Rattus norvegicus: one gene and its partner. The protein of the gene in region 2 interacts with the protein of the main gene of each other region in a pairwise test. Links are inferred from orthologs where the notes say so. Each region holds a gene or a part of one and is shown on either strand. Other genes may lie near its edges.

Region 1 (10,374 bases), on a different chromosome or scaffold from region 2:
AAGGCAAGGAGATCTTTGAGTTCAAGGTCATCTGGGACAAAGCAAGTCCCAGATCTGAGCATGGTGGTACCCACCTTTAATCTGGGCCACACCTTCTGCTGAAGACCTACATGAGGACATTGGAAGAAGGAAGACCGTCTCTTCTTCAACTGCTTGCCTTGTGGGACTGGCAGCTGCTAGATCCTTGGACTTCCATTCACAGCTGCTGCTGACCATTGTTGGGAAATTGGGGCTACAGACTGTAGGTCATCAACAGATTTCCTTACTATATAGAGACTACCCATAAATTCTGTGACTCCAGAGAACCCAGTGGGTCACAACCATCTGTAATGGTGTCCTCTTCTGGTGTGCATGAAGACAGGGACAATGTAACTCATATACACAAAACAAATGTATGTGGCTTGGAACTGAACTTGAGTCTTCTTGGAAGAGCATTGAGTTCTTAACTGCCGAGCCATCTCTCTAGCACACTGTTTCTCAGTCTTCCTAGTGTTGCAACCCTTTAACACAGCTCCTCATGTTGTGGGGACCCCAACCATAAAATTACTTTGTTGCTACTTCACAACCTAATTGTAATATAACTATCCAATATACAGGATATGTGATATGCTACCTCAAAGGGATTGTGACCCACAGGTTGAGAACCTCTTGCATGTCTCTTCCATTTAAAAAACATTTAGTGGTGTGTGTGTGTGTGTGTGTGTGTGTGTGCATGTGTGTGTTTATGTATGTGTGAGTGTGTGTGTATGTGTGTGTTGTGAGTCTGTGTATGTGTGTGTATATGTGTGTGTCTGTGTGTCTGTGTGTATATGTGTGTGTATGTGTGTCTGTGTGTGTATGTATGTGTACGTGTGTGTGAGTGTGTGGGTATGTGTGTGTGAGTGTGTGTGTTTATGTATGTGTGAGTGTGTGTCTGTGTGTGTATGTGTGTGTGTTGTGAGTCTGTGTATGTGTGTGTATATGTGTGTGTATGTGTGTGTTGTGAGTCTGTGTATGTGTGTGTATATGTGTGTGTATGTGTGTGTCTGTGTGTGTATGTATGTGTATGTGTGTGTGAGTGTGTGTGAGTGTGTGTGAGTGTGTGAGTGTGTGTGTGTCTATGTGTGTGGTGTGTGTGTGTCTCTGTGTGTGTATGTATGTGTGTAGGTGTATGTGTGTGTGTAGGTGTGTGTGTCTATGTGTATGTCTCTGTGTGTGTATGTGTGTGTGAGTGTGTGTGTCTGTGTGTGTATGTATGTGTGTGTCTATGTGTGTGGTGCATGTGTGTATGTGTGTGTAGGTGTGTGTGTCTATGTGTATGTCTATGTGTGTGTGTGTGTGGTATGTGTGTATGTGTGTGTGTGTGTGTGTGTGTGTGTGTGTGTGTGTGTGTGTAGTGAGCTGTTCTGTAGCTGGAGTCACCTAGCTCGTCACCTGAATGCTGGGATCAGAACTCCAGTCCTCACGGTTGCACACCAAATGCTCCCACCTGCTGAGCCATCTCTCCAGCCCCTATTTTATCTGTTTTGATTCTAAAATAATATTGCATTGTATAGGTAGATCATATTTTATCACATAGCCATCATTGGGTGGGCCTTTTGTCTTTTCCTGCCCGTTGGCTGCCATGGATAAAAATAATATGAATATTTGTCATATTAGTGAAGACAGTTTCATTTCTCTCCAGTTCACACAGGAGTGGACTTTCTGGACTATCTGCTGACACATCTAATCTTTTCTTTTTCTTTTCTTCTCCTCTCTTTTTTTACTCTTCTTTTGGGACAGAGCTTTATGTAGCCCAGGCTGGCTTCATACTTCACTGTTCGGTGGAAGGTGGGAAGGTGACCTTGAACTCCTGATCTTTCTCCCTCCATCTCTCAAATCCTGAGATTGTAAATCGTGGCACATGGTGCCTCCTTGCCCTGTTTTTAACTGAGCTCTCTTTTTATTCCTGAGCTGTAGAGTTCCTTATATATTCTAAACCCCTTACCAGATATAGATATAAGCATTCTCCCACCCCACCCCATTCTGTAGGTCCTTATTGGTTGACTGGCGGTTACCATAACAAAATATCCTGGACTGATGGCTTAAACTGCGGAGATCCATTTTGATTGGTTGTGTAGGCTGAAGTCTGAGATGAAAGCTGGTAGACTTGGGAGCCAGGAGGAGTGGCCACATGTCTACACCTTAGCATTAGAAAAGCAGGGAGGAGGATCTGGAGTTCAAGACCAGCCTTGGCCAGATAGCATGTTCCAGGCTAGCCTGAGCTATAGAGTGAAACTGTATAGAGTAAAACTCCAGAAGCAAGTAGGTTAGTTTTCTGGTCCATTTTAAAGTTATTTCTGTTTGTGGTGTGAGGTGGGGGTAGGCTTCCTCCTTTGGCACGGGGCTCAGTTTCCCCGGAGCCATTTATTAAAGACTGTTCCTTCTCCATTGAGCTGGCGCTCCTATGAAAGGGGGCTGGCTGCAGATGCAGAACCTACCTTCCATCCGGAGTCTCAGTTTCGTTTCATCTGCCTGTACGTTTATCCTTACAGTTTTACCACATTGTTTTGATTGCTGTAGCTTCCTGGTAGGATTGAAATGAGGAAGCAGGGGTCCTCTGAGTACAGTCTGCCTTCCCTTTGGGTGTATAGTAGTGTGAGAGATGCCAGTGAACGGTACAACGCCCAGTTTTGGAACCCCCTACTCCGGTAAAGACTCTGTTTCCGGGAACCAGGCTCTAAGTTCAGTGCGCCCTAGAAGAGATACATGGTTTCCCGCCCACTCCCCCCCACAGCTCTTGATGGAAACATTCTGCTGAGAACAATGCCCCCCTGGGTTATTTTAAACTTCACTCGGAGCCTTCTCCACCTGCTCTGCCGTCTCTAATTGCTCCAGAATCAGCGTCATTCACAACTGGATTATTAATGAACTGAGGGGGAGCCTGGGGGCATAGGAAAGAGGACTTCAGACTTGGGGGAGACTTAGAAGGACCCAACCTGAGGTGGGTTCTGTTGTTTTGAGACAAGGTCTCATGTGTCCATAGCCTGGCCTCAAATTCATACGTACGCCTCAGAGCTGGAATTACACGCGTTTGCCACCACACTTGGTACTGATACCCACTCAGGGTACTGGGGATTGAGCCCAGAGTTTTGTGCTGCTGCACAAGCACTCTATCTACTGAGCTATATTCCCTTACTCAACCCACAGGGTTTTGCTCCTCCAAGAAAAATAACTGAATGTATTGAGCAAATAGGAAATCGGGCAGGGAGTAGTGGCACACACTTTTAATCCCAACACCAAGGAGGTAGAGGCCGCAGGATCTCTGTGAGTTTAAGGCCAGCCTGATCTACATAGTCCATTCCGGGCCAGCCAGGGCGCTTAGTGAGATCCTGTCTTAAAACAAAAAGGAAACCAATACATTTAGACAGTGCTCCTGGCTTTATGAGTTTTATCGCGAGTGTTTCAAACAGGATTACCGAGGATCCCCGAGATCTAAATTGTGAATCTTTTCTCGTTGCTTTCCCAGCTGGTTAGCCCTGGGTGCCTCTGGCTCTAATCTGGAGGCTGGGAAAGTGCAGGGAACAAAGCCCTTTGTGGAAAAGAGAACCCCATTGTTCCAAAGTCAGCTTTCAGGGAATGTGGATTCCAGAAAATGTTTGGGATGGGATTTTTCTCTTTGTCCACTTTCTCCCCTCTCCCTGGGGGGAGGAGCAATTTAAAGGAGCAACTTTCAAAATTAAATTAAACAGAGTTAAACCCATTGCCCTCAGGGAAAGCACACACTGCAGGGTCTTCTGTCCAGCAGCTGCCTTCGTTACATGACAGAAACCCAGGGGGTTTGGGTCTTGTTCTTAGCAGGAAACCTCAAGGAAGCAGCTGGGTCTAGATCCTCTGCACCTCAGCCGGTGACAGACATCAGCCTAGGCACGACCACTTCCTTCCTGGAATCCACGTCACAGGCCACAGTCTGTTGCCTTTTCTCAGCTAAAAGACCTATCTATATAGCCCTGTCCTCTAGATAAGGCCTGGCCAAGTTCGTGATATTTGGAGAGCCTTCTGACTCAAGCTTAACGTGGGAAGTTGACTTTCGGGCACTGACCCCATTCTGTGCCACTATAGGTAGGTTATTTTCCCTTTCTGGGCCTCACTGGGTCTGCCTGTCAAATGGGAATAAAATACCACCCTGTCTACTCCTTGTCTGTACTGGAGGTTAGGGGTGGGGCACAGTCAAGGAGAGCTATTCTGAAGACCGGCTGTGTCTCAGCTGCTTCCAAATTCCTGCAGCTCAGAAAAGGGGTCTTCATCCCGAGGGTGCTAAGACCTAGACCTTCTTGTTGCGTGGTGACAAGCCCCTTGGGCCTGCTCGGGCCCACCCCTTTCCAGAGAGCTTAGGCTCCGCCTTAGGGGAGGAGTCAAGAGGCGGCGCGGTGGCTCGCTACCAAGCAGAGCTGGCTCTGTCGCCGCACCACCAGCTGCGGCTCTGGGACCTGCGGATTGAGCCGGGGCTGGGAGCCGCCCGGGGCAGGGCTCGAGAGAGCGGGTGAGTTGAGTGGCGCCGCATTCCTCTCTGCACTCTGCGGATCCGGCAGGTGTCTCGGCCCCTTCCAGTCTGGCTGCTGGAGAGGGGTGCCTTGGCCAAGGGAGGGTGGCTTAAGATAATTGGGGAGGGGGGGTGCGGTGACGGTGGGATGTGCTGGAAAGGTACCGAGGGTGCGAGGCCGGGGAGTTGGGCCACTGTCTCCCACGTCTCGCCTTCGGATGGGGAGGCTGGTCTACGTAGAGGGTGCATTGGCAGGTTGTCGACCAGGGCTGCAATGAGTGGATTTTGGGGGGCGATGTGAGGTCCGTGGTCTGTCTGGGCTACTGTCTGCCAGGGTTACAAGGCTGGGTGGTGAAGCTACAGAACACCAGACGCCCTGGGCACGCGGTCTAGGAGCCGGGCATGGGGGCGCCGCCCCCTCGCGTGGCGGCGCTTGGTCTGGGCAAGCAGCAGCAGCGCGCTGAGAGCGTTGCTCCCGGGGTGGGAAAAGTCCCGGAGGCTGGTGTCCCTGTGGACAAACCTGACCCAGGGCGGGATCTCCACCCCTAGAGCCTGTGGGTCGGTCTCGGTAGCCCCCGGCGTGGTGATTCCCCAGAAGGGATGCTCCCGGCCTCTCTGCCCGCCGCCTTAGGCGCGAGCTGCGGATCCCCGCGCCCGGAGCGCTCCACTCCTCGCGAGTCCCGCGCATCCGCTCCCGCAGGGAACAGCGCCCCCGAGCGCCCAAGATGTGCAGAAACGGCGCAGCCCTGCCCCAGAGGTCGACTGAGGGGTCTCCCACAAGGTCACGCTGAGCGCCCAGATCGCCCCGAGTGGGAACCAGGAGCGGGAGGCGCTCCTACCCGCCTCCGGGGTGGATGCGGACTCTCTTTCCTCTGCGCTCCCCTCCCAGCCCTGCCTCCTGCTTTACGGAAGATGCTGCTGATGCAGCTTCCAGTCCCGGGCATCGGATAATCGGGTCTCTAGGTGAGCTGTGACTATGGCCCTCTCTGCAAGCCAGCGGGGCGCCGCCACCACGGGCCAGGCCTGGGAGCCTTTGCTCCCCCTGGAATCTGAAGAGCAGGGGGAACAGAGATGAGGCTGCACAGCGCTTAGAACGGAAAGCCGATGCTTGCGCGCCCATGTGATTACACTGCTCATAAAGGGCTCCTGTTCTTGCTGTCAGAGGCGCCCACCAGCTCCTGGCGGCCGGGAGCACCAGGTGCGGCCTGTGAATCGCCCTCTGTGGAAGACCCGGAGCCCAATAGTGCCAGGCGCTGTTTCCCTCCAGGCTATCTGAGGAAGGAGCTGGCGGTCGCCCCGGGCCCTCGGGAGTATGGGGGCGGGGGGGGGGCACTTCCCTGTGCGCCTTATCCTGCCATTTCCTGCAGCCAGTAAGGTACCAGAGGAGAACCGACCTCCGTTGGGAGGGAGATCTTCTTTCCAGGCTGAGCTCAGCACAACTCAGCCGACGACTTGCTGTCTGCTCACGGTTCCCCATCTCCATAGATCTCTAAGAAGTGGGGTGAATGGTCGCTATAGGGTAAGTGAGAGAGGCCTCACGTGAAGCTCTTGGTGCATCAGAGCATCATGGATGACCCTGCTAGGCAAACCCGCCTTCAGTGAGGGTTTGAGCGAGGCGTGTCCCCTAGCGAGGCGCAGAAGTGGAGCCCTGGTGGGTGGTTCTGCAGGGGCTGGGATGTGGGGTTCCACTTTTCCTCCTTCAGTTATGTCACAAAGAGCCAGCTTGTAGGAGGCGGTAGGGACCGGTGACTGCTTTCATCGTGCTGCCTGCTTGCAAGGCCTTTCCCACTCACATTCTCACCACCTTCTCTCCCACCTGTCACCCAAATCCCATCTTCTCTGCCCCAGTCCTTGGGACGCTGTGGGCAAGATGCCAACCAGACCACTCTGTCAAGTGGAGTCTACCTCCCATTGCCCCTGTCCCCCAACCCCCCCAACTCTTCTCAACCTTTGGAAATGGCTTCCTTAAAAAAAAAAAAACCTTTTGGTTTCAAACTGATCCTCACTTGTGGCTTAGATGTCACAGACCACTTGGGAAAGTCCCCTTGCAATGGGACAATTCAGCCAAGTCTAGACTTCCTGGTTTAGAAGGACCAGGTAAGTAAGGCCAGCGTTTGGTGCCCACACAGACTTTGTACTCTGTGTTCGTGGAGCCCGGGAGCCAGAGGAGCAGAGGTTAAATTCTAATCTTGCTGTTGGTGTTTTCATGAGCCACAGAGCCAGGGGAAGCTGAGGCAGGGAAATGGTTTTCTTTAAGGCTATATGTTTCCTATAGAGCGCCTTTGAGCCAACTACTTGTCCTGTCTTGTGAAAATTTAGTACTAGAGCCTCAGGGAACTTGCTCCAACCAGCAGCAACCACGTGGACACAGGGCAGCAGATTGCAATGGTGGCCTGGATTCAAGTGCTGGGTTTTGATCCCCAAGACACCCTCTCTTGCGGACCTTACCCCTCTCCCATCCCAGCACCCTGTGCTCCCAGCCCCCATGCTTGTTATGCTATGGCAGACAGTGGGTCTCAATGGACATTCCAGACGAGGACTGCCCTTGTCTCAACACATCTTAGAAATCAGCTTCGGGGGAGGGGGAAGCATGCACAAGCCTCTCACGGCCTGAAGTATCAAAACTCAAGGAAGCAGAATGAGTCTAGTTGAAATGACAGCTCTGAGCTGAAAAAAGCTTGGGACTCTGTGTAAAAAGCTCTTTCCAGCCCCTCCCCCTTTCTCTTCTGGGTGATAAGAATCCCATCGTGGTCATCCCCACTGGGCTCTAAGGACCCCTCGAGACCATAGATCATAGATGTGCTTAATGGGGATGCTGGAAGGCAGGCAGAAGGGACTTTTGTTGGTGACACCTGTTTCTTTCTTTCCTCGGGTCCTCGTAGATCTTGCTCCCTCCCGGGCTACAGGGACGTAATACTTCTGCTTTCAGTTCTGGGGATACAGAACGCCTCTTAGCCTGTCTCTTGGGCAATGTCCTGGGAATTGGGAATCCTTCTGCAGGGAATCCTTTCTCCGGGGCCCTGTGTACAGACCTTGCACTTAGCAAGGGGTTGCCATAACCAAGGTCGCTCTGGGGGTTCTCATCTCAGGGGAGAGGCAGGCCTGCAGACAGAGGGTCTGGTGCAGTCAAAGCTTCCATAATAAGAAGTGGGAACTGAGGGCACAGGAAATGCCAGGTTTGAACCATCACACTGTGCTGGACGGACAGAATCCTTTCCCTCTCAAAGAGGTAAAGTGAGCAGGAGAGATGCTATGGGTGAGGATTTAGCTCAGGGCTGTCCCTGGATGAATAAATGTTCACAGATGTTAGTTGCTATTATTATTAGTCTATTATTACCAATAACAGGTGGGCCACACTTATTGCGGGAGCACATTTGATCTCTTTGGTGGTAATTTTCCCAGGCAGTGGGCAATGGAGGGAGGGATGGGCACCCGTGCACGGAGAACTGCGTGCGTGCGTACAGGCTGGAAAGCTCTGGGTGGGAGCCGTGGGTGGGAGTCGCTGCTGGAACTCAGTCAACAGTGTAATGCAGGTCCCGGTAGGAAGGCCAGGGAAGGAGTCAGAGGTCATCCTGCCAGGGGCTGTGCACGGTTAAATGCTCGCTGACCCGAAGCAGCCTTGTCAGTTTTGCAGCTCTCTGCAAAAGGTTGCCTGACTGTAGTTACCCAGGAAAGAGCAGGATTAATTTCTGCACGGGAGGAAGAGCAGGGCTACTTTTATACCAAAGGGTTCTCTCTATTCCTTCTCAGTCTCTTTTAGCAAGCATAAAGCTTTCTCTCCTCCTTCCCTCTGCCTGACAGGGTCCCCCATGCCAAAGTCTTCAAAAATGTTCCATGCCTGCTCGTCATGGTTGAATACGTATGTAATCTCAGCACTCAGAAGGTCAGGAGGCAGGAGGATAGCCATTTTAGGGATAGCCTGGGCTACATGGTGAGACCTTGAATGAAGAAAAAAAAAAGATGCTGTGTGCTGTCCTGTATGCGTTTCGTAAATCTCTAAGCTGGCTGCACAGTGTTTGGTTTCTGACTTTGTGTGCCCCTGGGTGCCGAGTGGTAGGTGGATCACCCTACGGTATGCTCCTGGAACCTGCCCTGACTTTTGGGAAATTCCTGAGTGCAGGTGACTGTGGGGGGAGGTGTTCCTGGATGTCTCAGAATCCAGGATGGCATTCCACTAGAGTCCCACAGATGTGCTTCTATGCGGGTAGTTTGTAGCTTGATTGATGGGGCAGGTGGTGACCAAACCCTAAGCTGGCCCCAGGGAGGAATGAGTCTTTTAGGATGACTGCTCAGAATATCGTGTGACTATAGATCCTGCCTATAGACAGGAGGCGTTCGAGCACATGCTTAACTGTTTGTTTTTCCATGATGACTGTTTAAGTTTAGGGGTTTGAATTCTGATCCTGCTTTCCGCCAGTTTTTGGACCTTGGGCAATGGTTCCGTTTCCGTGGGCCCCCAATTTCTCCATCTGGAAACCCAGACCATATATATTGAATATATAACGCACATATAAAGAATTCTGAGTTCTCCTAAGGATTTTGATCCGATGTAGAGTGATGGGTTTCTAAGGTTTTGTGTGTGTGTGTGTGTGTGTGTGTGTGTGTGTGTGTGTGTCACTATGTACTGAGGCTCTCCTTGAACTCTCAGTCCTCCTATTTCAGCCTGGGTTCTGGGGTTATAGGGGTGCACCCCTCTGTGTGATGTAGCTTCTAAGCTGTTCATGATATTGGTACAATGTCCACTGAATTTTCATCCATGGCTCTGTTTGTACCATACCTAGAGTTACATAATAATCATTCTTCTTTTAGTTTCCTTTTTAAATTATTTAGTTTTTTTTTTTTTTTTTTTAGATTTACTTACTTGATTTTGTGTGCATGAGTGTTCGCCTGATTCTATATGTGCACCACAGATGTGCCTGGTGCTAGCAGAAGTCAGAAGGGAACATTGGATCCCCTGCAACTGGAGTTACAGATGGTTGTGAGCTAGCGTGTGGGTGCTGGGAATCAAACCTGGATCCTCTTTCCGGGCAAACAGCGTTCTCAACAGCTAAGCCATCTTTGCTGTTCCCTAGTCTTCTATTTCATTCACTAGACCCACAGTTCTCAGTTGTGAACAGTTCTGGCCAGTGTCTAGAGGTGTCTCTGTTTGTCAGAGCCAGCTAGGAGGGACCTGGAGAAGACGTGGCCTCTAGTGCCTCGAGACCAGGAAGGCTATGGGATATTCTGCAGTGCATAGCACAGCCCCTCACAGCAAAAAATTCCAGGCTCCCAAACGTGAATAGCATCAAGGCTGAGATGGGTTACACTCGACCTTGTGTCCTCTGAGGTCAGTGGCTGTATCTAATTCATTCAGCTGTGTCCCCGGTTGTCAGAGCCAGGGAGACAATCCACATACATTAAAAGAATGAATGAGAACTTGGAAGGCCTCGTGCACCCTGGAGTCCCGGGGGTTTGGCTTACAGGATGATTTGAATGGGCAGGAGAGAGATGAGTCTGCAGGACAACAGCCACTTGGTAATTCAGACCAAAGGCTGTCAGAGCATGCCTACTATTTTCCTTTGGACAGGTGCACGGGGGCCTGGATCAGCTGGATCACGGCTGTATTACTGCTGCGTTTGCTTGTGCCAGACACGAGGCCCATCTAGATCCTCAGGTGGGCTGGGAAAAGGGGCCATAGGTGCTAACAAGGAACACCCTGTCAGCTGAGCTCTCGGGATCTGCTAGGCTGGGGCGTAGCTGCCGTCAGCTTCCTGTTTTTTTCCCTTTCTGGTGGAATGAAGGAAACCCACTGAATGGCTGTTTTTCCACTGACATTTACAGCAATGTGATAGGCCTTGGATTAATGAGGTCAAGCTACAGTGTGAAATCTACCC
Region 2 (8,375 bases):
TCTAAAAATGAGAGAGAGAGAGAGAGAGAGAGAGAGAGAGAGAGAGAGAGAGATTGATTTTGATGGGCAAGGTTGGTTGGATCCCAAAGAAGACCTGAAGTAGGATGAACACCCTGTTCTCTTGTAGGCACCCAATCTGGGCCCTAGTCTCTGAAGATCATGATGACGTATATGAACCCGGGACCTCACTATTCGGTCAATGCCTTGGCCCTGAGTGGCCCCAGTGTGGACCTGATGCACCAGGCTGTCCCATACTCAAGTAAGTGTGTTCTCCTTCTAACCTTCAGTCTGTCTTTTAAGAACCTCTGAGGTTCATTGCCCTCAGGAGAAAAAGCATTCCTGGGGTGGAGGGGGCAGTGGGAACTTGTACCAGCTCTATGTCCATTTGCAAAGGAGTTTGGTATTCCAGGCACTTTTACATGTTCCCCGGGAATTCAGAGGAGTAAATAGTCATGACATTGACTCCCTTTGGAGGGAGAAGAGGGAAAGGGAACTGGTCTGGAAGAAGAATCAGGAGGATTCCATCTCTTTGTAAAGCTTTTTCTTTTTCTCTTTTTGGAGTAGTGGTTGTTGGGCTGTAATCCAGGGCCTTGTGGCTTCTAGGTAGGCACATTAGCATGGAACTATGCCCCACCATAGCTGTAGTAGTCTAGGCAGGGGCTCTAACACTGAGCCACGCCCCCAGCTCCTCACTGGGGGATTCTAGGCAGGGGCTCTAACACTGAGCCACGCCCCCAGCCCCTCACTGGGGGATTCTAGGCAGGGGCTCTACCACTGAGCCACACCCCCAGCCCCTCTCTGGGGGATTCTAGGCAGGGGCTCTACCACTGAGCCACGCCCCCAGCCCCTCACTGGGGGATCCTAGGCAGGGGCTCTACCACTGAGCCACGCCCCCAGCCCCTCACTGGGGGATCCTAGGCAGGGGCTCTACCACTGAGCCACGCCCCCAGCTCCTCACTGGAGGATTCTAGGCAGGGGCTCTAACACTGAGCCACGCCCCCAGCCCCTCACTGGGGGATTCTAGGCAGGGGCTCTACCACTGAGCCACACCCCCAGCCCCTCTCTGGGGGATTCTAGGCAGGGGCTCTACCACTGAGCCACGCCCCCCAGCCCCTCACTGGGGGATTCTAGGCAGGGGCTCTAACACTGAGCCATGCCCCCAGCTCCTCACTGGGGGATTCTAGACAGGGGCTCTACCACTGAGCCACACCCTCAGCCCCTCACTGGGGGATTCTAGGCAGGGGCTCTACCAGTGAGCCACGCCCCCAGCCCCTCACTCTATATAACTGAGCATGTCCCAGCCTCCTGATTCAAGACTCTAGAGTGTTGAGATTTAAGTCCTTCACCATCATGCTCTACTATGATACATTATTATTTAACAGATCTCTCTCTCTCATTTGCCTTTCTCTTCTTTCTCTTCCTTTTTATTTCTTCCCTCTCTCACTCCCTTTCTTCCTTCATCCTTTCTTCTTTTCTTCCTTCTTTCCTCCCTCTCTTCCTCCCTCCCTTCCTTTCAACAGACTCTCACTATGTAGCCTTAGCCTGGAACTCACCATGTGGACCAGGTTTCTTTATAGATTGACAGAGTTCTGCCTGTTTCTGCCTCCTGAGTGCTGGAATTAAAGGCAGGAGCCACCTATCTAGCCTTTCTCTTTCTTTGAAGAACAAATAAAACACTATTTTTGCATGAAGGGTAGGGAGCAGGAGGGATGTTTGCCATGGCTCCCTTGTTGAGGTCTGAGCAACTTTTGGGAGTAGTTTTTTCCCTTCTATGTTGGGTCCCAGGGATTGAACTCAGGTCCTCAGGCTTGGTCACAAGTGTCTATACATGCTGCACCATCTTGCTGGCCCCCTTTTTCTTTTACATTAAGTTGAACCACTTTTATAAGCAGGAGTCATGGTTATTGATAACACCATGTCTCAACCAAATATATCTTAAGAGTATAAAAAGTTTCAAGAGACGGGCTGGAGAGATGGCTCAGCAGTTAAGAGCACTGACTGCTCGTCTAGAGATCCTCAGTTCAATTCCCTGTAACCACATGGTGGTTTACAACCATCTGTAATGGGATCTGATGTCCTTTTCTGGTGTGTTTGAAGACAACAACAGTGTACTCATGTACATAAAAAAATATTTAAAAAAGTCTCAAGAGGGGAGTCTGGTGCAGTGACTGTGCCCGCAGATATTTGGGAGGCTGAGGTAGGAGGATCTCTTGAGTCCATGATTTCAGGGCCAGTGTGGGCTATGTAGTGAAAGTCTGTTGTAATGAGAGAGAAGGGGAGGGAGAAAAGGGAGGGGAAGAGTAAAGGGAGGATAGAAGAGAGAGAAGGAGGAAGAGAGGAGGAAGGGCAGAGAGAGGAGGAGAAGGAAGAGAAGAAAGGGAAGGAGGGGTTAGGAATGAAACAGACAAAATGAGGGGCAAATCCAGTGAATGAATGATTGGAATACTTCTCTTAATTCCTCTGGGGACTGAGCCACCACTAGAAGGCCAGGGAATCAATCAAAGCCCCTTCTTTAGGCTGATGGATGTGCAGAAAGGACTTTGGGACAGGCATTCCTCTGTACCTCCTAGCCTCTAGCAAGCAGACCTAGCCCACCTGAGGTTCTTTTTTTTTTTTTTTTTTTTTTTTTTGGTCTTTTTTTCGGAGCTGGGGACCGAACCCACCACCTGAGGTTCTTTAATTTGCCCCCACTTAGGTGCCCCTAGGAAGCAGAGGCGGGAGCGGACCACGTTCACCAGGAGCCAGCTGGAGGAGCTGGAGGCCCTGTTTGCCAAGACCCAGTACCCGGATGTGTATGCACGTGAGGAGGTTGCTCTCAAGATCAACCTGCCTGAGTCCAGGGTCCAGGTAGGATGATCTGCTCCGTGGACCCCTTGAACCCTTACTGTAACCTTCTGTGGGCCCTTGTCAAATCCAGAGTGCATGAAGGAAAGAGGCCAAGGGTAGCATATTTATGAAATGGCCTAAATGCCCTTCACATTCCTTATATCACTCTTCTTATATGATGCCTTCTCACCACACTGTCCTCCAAGGGTTCTCCTTCCCTTTGTACTCTGTTTTCTTTCAGGGCCTCACATATGCACGTGACCTACCACTGAGATATATCATCATCTCTCTTGTTTTTTAATCTTAAAACTATTTATCTTGATATTTATGTATTTACATGTTTGTTTGTTTGTTTATTTATTTATTTTAGTTCAAGACAGGGTTCTTTTGTGTATGTAGCCTTGACTGTCCTGGAACTCACTCCATAGACGAGGCTCACAGAGATCTGTCTGCCTCTGCCTCCCGAGTTCTATGATTTAAAGGGGTATGCCACTGCTACTTGGCTAAAACTAATTTTGAGGCAACGGTCTTACTACGTAGACCAGTACCAGCAATCCACCTGCCTCTGGCTCCCAAATGCTGAGTGTGTGTGCATATTTTATTTTTAATTATGTTCATGTATGTGTCTGTGCACATGAGTGCAGTTATCATTTTAAAAAATTATTCTGGGGAGGGGCAAAAATTATTCTTTGATTTAGAAGAAGGGAAAGAAATATGGAAATGATGTATTATACTTTAGAAAAACTAAATAAGCAATAAAACTTTATTCTTTGGGTAATTTCATACATGGATACAATGAATTAAGGTCAGTTCTACTCTCTCTTTCCAATACCTCCAGGAGCCTCCTCCTCTTCCATTTCTCTTTTAGCTTCATTCATGTCCTTTTTGTTTTTCTTCTCTTCCTCCTCCTCTTCTTCCTCTTTTAAAACCCACTGGGTCAAGTTTGTGCTGCTTATATGTGCATGGGAGTGGCACCATCCACTTGAGCATTGGCACTGGGAGACAGAGTCTCACTAAGTCACACAGGCTGGCTTTGAACTTACTTTGCAGCTCAGGCAAACCCTGATCTTCATATCTTCTTGCTTCAACCTCCTGAAGAGCAAGGATCACAACAGGTCTGTGCTATTAAGCCTAGCTTCAGAGGACTTGTTTCATCATCACGGTTATTGAGCAACAACCAGTCAATTAATCAAGTCATCTTATAAATCAAGGAGACTCACATGGATCACAGTGCTTTAAATTTCAAACTGAAATGCCAGTTTTTGGCTGAAATGCTACCTCGTATCCATCTTACTTGACAGCTTCTTTCAGTCCGACCAGTTCTAGAATACCACACTAAACATGCTAGGCTCACACCTGTAGCCTCAGCATTTGAGAGGCTGAGGCAGGAGGATTGCTTTGAGCTTGAAGACAGTCTTGCTACCTAGAGTGAGCCTCCACCCCAACTGTATGGCTTACCCACTTAGGCCAACAGTAATATTCCTCACCAGAGTAGAATACTAACCCCTCTGATGTTCCCTTTAAGCAATAAAGGCTGGGTGGTACATGATTATTAGGTGACTGAGAGGATTAGTGGGTAAGAGAAATGTGTGTGTGTGTGTGTGTGTGTGTGTGTGTGTGTGTGTGTGTGTGTGTTCTGCAGTGTGGGGGATTGAACCCAGAGCCAGGCAAATGCTCTACAACTAAGCTACATCTCTAGCTTTGGTATTGTTATATCTATATGTAAAATTAAGTGCGTGCATGCTATGAAATTAGCTGATGAGAATATGTATATATGTGTACTTATGCACAGATATATGATTGCATGTATGATATGTGAATATAATGCATGTATGATTACATATACATAGTCATGAGTAAGGAGCATGTTAATATAATGTGTTCATATGTGCATGACTATATGTATGATATGTCAATATAATGCATGCATTCATAAGCAGAAACACATAAATATATGTTCATATGTATACGATTGCATATATGGACAATGCATAATTGTATACATATTCATGGGATCAGGTGGGTGTCAATGCATATAGGTATGTATGTGTGACTGCATACATATTATGTGAGAATAATGTATGATTGTATGCATGCATACGTGATCAATCAGGTAAGTAGATGATGCATGACAACTGATAAATGCATGTACGTATGATTGCATGTTTCAAATGTGTGTGATCAGTGCATGTAGGTTGCTGTGTGCATGTGTACATGCATGATTGGATAGGTACACAGATCATGGACAGAGTTGCCCTATCATTGGATGTAGAGTGGTGATGTGTGGGTCTTACCATCAACTTTGTCTTCTTTTGGCATGTAGGTTTATCCCCCCTCTCCCCATATTTCCTCTCTCTATCTAGGTCTGGTTCAAGAATCGCAGGGCGAAATGCAGACAGCAGAGGCAGCAGCAGAAACAGCAGCAGCAGCCCCCAGGGGTACAAGCCAAGGCTCGTCCTGCGAAGAGGAAGGCAGGCACATCCCCGAGACCCTCTACAGATGTTTGTACAGATCCTTTGGGCATCTCAGATTCCTACAGCCCATCTCTGCCTGGTCCCTCAGGTTCACCTACCACAGCAGTGGCCACCGTATCCATCTGGAGTCCGGCCTCAGAGTCTCCTTTGCCTGAGGCCCAGAGAGCTGGCCTAGTGGCTTCAGGGTCCTCTCTCACCTCAGCCCCTTATGCCATGACCTATGCCCCTGCTTCTGCTTTCTGTTCTTCACCTTCAGCTTATGCATCTCCAAGCTCCTATTTCAGTGGGTTGGATCCATACCTTTCTCCCATGGTGCCCCAGCTAGGGGGTCCGGCTCTCAGCCCCCTCTCGGGCCCCTCTGTGGGGCCATCCTTGGCCCAGTCCCCCACCTCCTTGTCAGGCCAGAGCTATAGCACCTACAGCCCCGTGGACAGCCTGGAATTCAAGGACCCTACAGGCACCTGGAAATTCACCTACAATCCCATGGACCCTCTGGACTACAAAGATCAGAGTGCCTGGAAGTTTCAGATCTTGTAGAAGAGGCTTCATATTCTCCCTTCCAGCGGAATCACCCTCTCTGGACTCCGGCTGCCACCTCCTGCTTAGATTCCAGGAGAGTAGCTCTCAGCAAGCATCAGCAAGTAGCAATCCTGCCAAAGGCTGTGAAAAATTCAGCCCCAGGTGTAGGCCACCCTCAGCTCCATTAGAGTTTAACCCCTTTACCACCTACCCCAAGCAATGAAAGGGACTTCCTCTCCCAAGACAGTCCAGCAGCAACCAGTAGATAGCATGACCGATGTGTATATCTGATGCTTTCCCCAGTCTTCAGTAAAGGTGCTGAGAACTTGCTCTGGAGAGAAAGAAAATCTGTCTCGCAAGTGACTTGGAGAATGTTTGGGTTAGAACTCCTGGTACCCTAAGCCAGATGTGGTGACTCAATGTTCATAATCCCAGCATGGAAGAAGCTGAGGCAGGTGGATTGTGGGAACTTGAGGCCAGCTTGGACTATGAAGTGAGACCTCTAAATTCGTTTGGAAAATTTATACAGTTAAAGATCAGGTTTACATGGTAGGTTTAGGAGATTGTTCATTTGGACATGTATATATGATTTATGTGCCTGTATGTACGTTACAGGCATGAGCCACCAAACTGCACTGGGATGCTGTGGCTTGTATAAAATCAAAATGCAGAAGAAGCTTGATGTAAATATTGGGGAGGACTTGAAAGATAAATAGAATGTTCTAGAGCCCAAGGTGCCTCAGTCAGAGATCCCTAGGGTCAGATTGAGGGAGCACAAGTGATGAAGTCTTTCAGATGCCTATAGGAGTTGAATCGGGTAGAGGTCTTTTAGACATCCACAGAGTATGTCCAATATTATTTTTTAAAAAGACTTATTTTATTTGTATGAGTACACATTAGCTATCTCCAGACACACCAGGAAAGGTCATCAGATCCCATACAGATGGCCGTGGTTTCTGGGAATTGAACTCAGAACCTCTGGAAGAGCAGTCAATGCTCTTAACTGTGGAGCCATCTCTCCAGCCCATGGACAATATTCTATTTCATAAGCCAGGAGTGGTGGCACATGCTTGTGATCTCAACACGAGGGAGGTGGAAGCAGGAGGATAATGAGTTCAATGTCATTCTAGGCTACAAAGCAAATTTGAGGCCAGCCTGGGCTATATAAAACCCTCTTGCACTCCCCCCAACCCCCACAACTGCAAATCCTACTTTCCAAGTCACAAGACTAATGAGACAAATGGACATAGAATGACAAGGTCATTTAATGTTAACTTCTCTGTTCACGCCTTTCCTCTGAGCCTCTCAGATCTCCCTTCCCTGGCTACCCAGAGTGAAACTGATTAAAGATGTTGGATCCCACTTAAATCAGGGTGTTTTTTCCTCTTTGTTTCTGTGTGTTTTTGAGGGGGGCAGGGAGGAGGGGCAAACTTGGTTAGGTAGAAAGAGATTAAGATTTGCTTTGCCCTTTCTGCCCATAGTGTGCTCCTGGATATTTTCTGTTTGGCAATGCTTGTCTCTGTATCTTCTAAAAGTCAACTAAGGAGGAACACAGGACCAGGACAGATAGAGAAGGTCTGGGATCCCAGCACTTGGGAGCTGAGGAGGAGGATCTCAAGTTTAAGATCTGCCTAGGAAACTTAATCACAGATACATTTTAAAAGAGGCTGTCAGTGTAGGTCAGGATACAGCCCCTGCCTAGAAACCCCCAGTGAGGGGCTGGGGGCGTGGCTCAGTGGTAGAGCCTGTCTAGAACTCCAGTGGGGCTGAGGACATGGTTCAGTGATACAGTACATGTCTAGAATGTTGGTTTAGTTCCCCGTACAACAAAAGAATATGTCAGTCCTAACTGTAGATATCATCACAGCAATGCCTCTGATAGACATTATAGGTGAGGAAACTGCAAGGGCTTGGGAGTCAGTTCACCCACCATGATCTACATCTGGTAGAATTTCTTATTGGTCCCTTCTTGGTATGCACAATCCCTTTCATTAAAAAATATTTATGTGTATGGGTATTTTTGCCTGCATATGTGACTGTGTACCATGTGAAGGCAGTGCCTTTGGAGACCAGAAAAGGGTACCCAATTCCCTGGGACAGGAGTTGCAGTTACTAAGGAGTGTAAGTGGCTATGTGCATACTGGAAATCAAACTTGGATCCCCTGGAACAGCAACCAATTCTCTTAACCACTGAGCCATCTTTCCACCCTACTCCCTTCTTTTAAAGGCAGGGTCTTTCTACCTAGGTACGGTTGGCCTCAAACTCATAGTAATCTGCCTCCCATCTGCTGGGATTACAGATATGTGCTGGGTCTTTTGTACTTTCTGGCCATCTCCCTTCCATTCTTTCCATTTCTGTCCTCACCTCTGTAGCTGTCTGTCCCTCTTATTGTTTCCACCCCAGGCATTCTGTTTCCTGTGTCCCTGGACAGGACTAATTTAGTAAATGCTTCAATCCTCTTAGGACAACAGTCCAGCCTCAGCAGAAAGGCAGGGGGAATTATGGAGGATTAGGCTCAGCCTCGGGACCTGTGGGGGAGGGGACTCTGTGGGGAC

What was found.
Region 1: the proteins of Crx (region 2) and Ppp1r16b interact in binary tests that used the Homo sapiens proteins (3 or more experiments, as listed by UniProt). The two-hybrid records come from large-scale screens. The link is inferred for Rattus norvegicus from reciprocal best matches to the Homo sapiens genes CRX and PPP1R16B.

What each region holds. Positions count from the first base shown.
Region 1 is NC_086021.1:167,739,570-167,749,943, forward strand, and holds the start of Ppp1r16b (protein phosphatase 1 regulatory inhibitor subunit 16B), read left to right. Parts: upstream 1-4,421; 5' UTR 4,422-4,501; intron 4,502-4,657; exon of another isoform or gene 4,658-5,464; intron 5,465-5,852; exon of another isoform or gene 5,853-6,020; intron 6,021-6,075; exon of another isoform or gene 6,076-10,374. UniProt on the Homo sapiens protein: Regulator of protein phosphatase 1 (PP1) that acts as a positive regulator of pulmonary endothelial cell (EC) barrier function. Involved in the regulation of the PI3K/AKT signaling pathway, angiogenesis and endothelial cell proliferation.
Region 2 is NC_086019.1:85,665,762-85,674,136, reverse strand, and holds the end of Crx (cone-rod homeobox protein), read left to right. Parts: intron 1-127; 5' UTR 128-159; coding exon 160-259; intron 260-2,695; coding exon 2,696-2,847; intron 2,848-5,189; coding exon 5,190-5,837; 3' UTR 5,838-6,166; downstream 6,167-8,375. UniProt on the Homo sapiens protein: Transcription factor that binds and transactivates the sequence 5'-TAATC[CA]-3' which is found upstream of several photoreceptor-specific genes, including the opsin genes.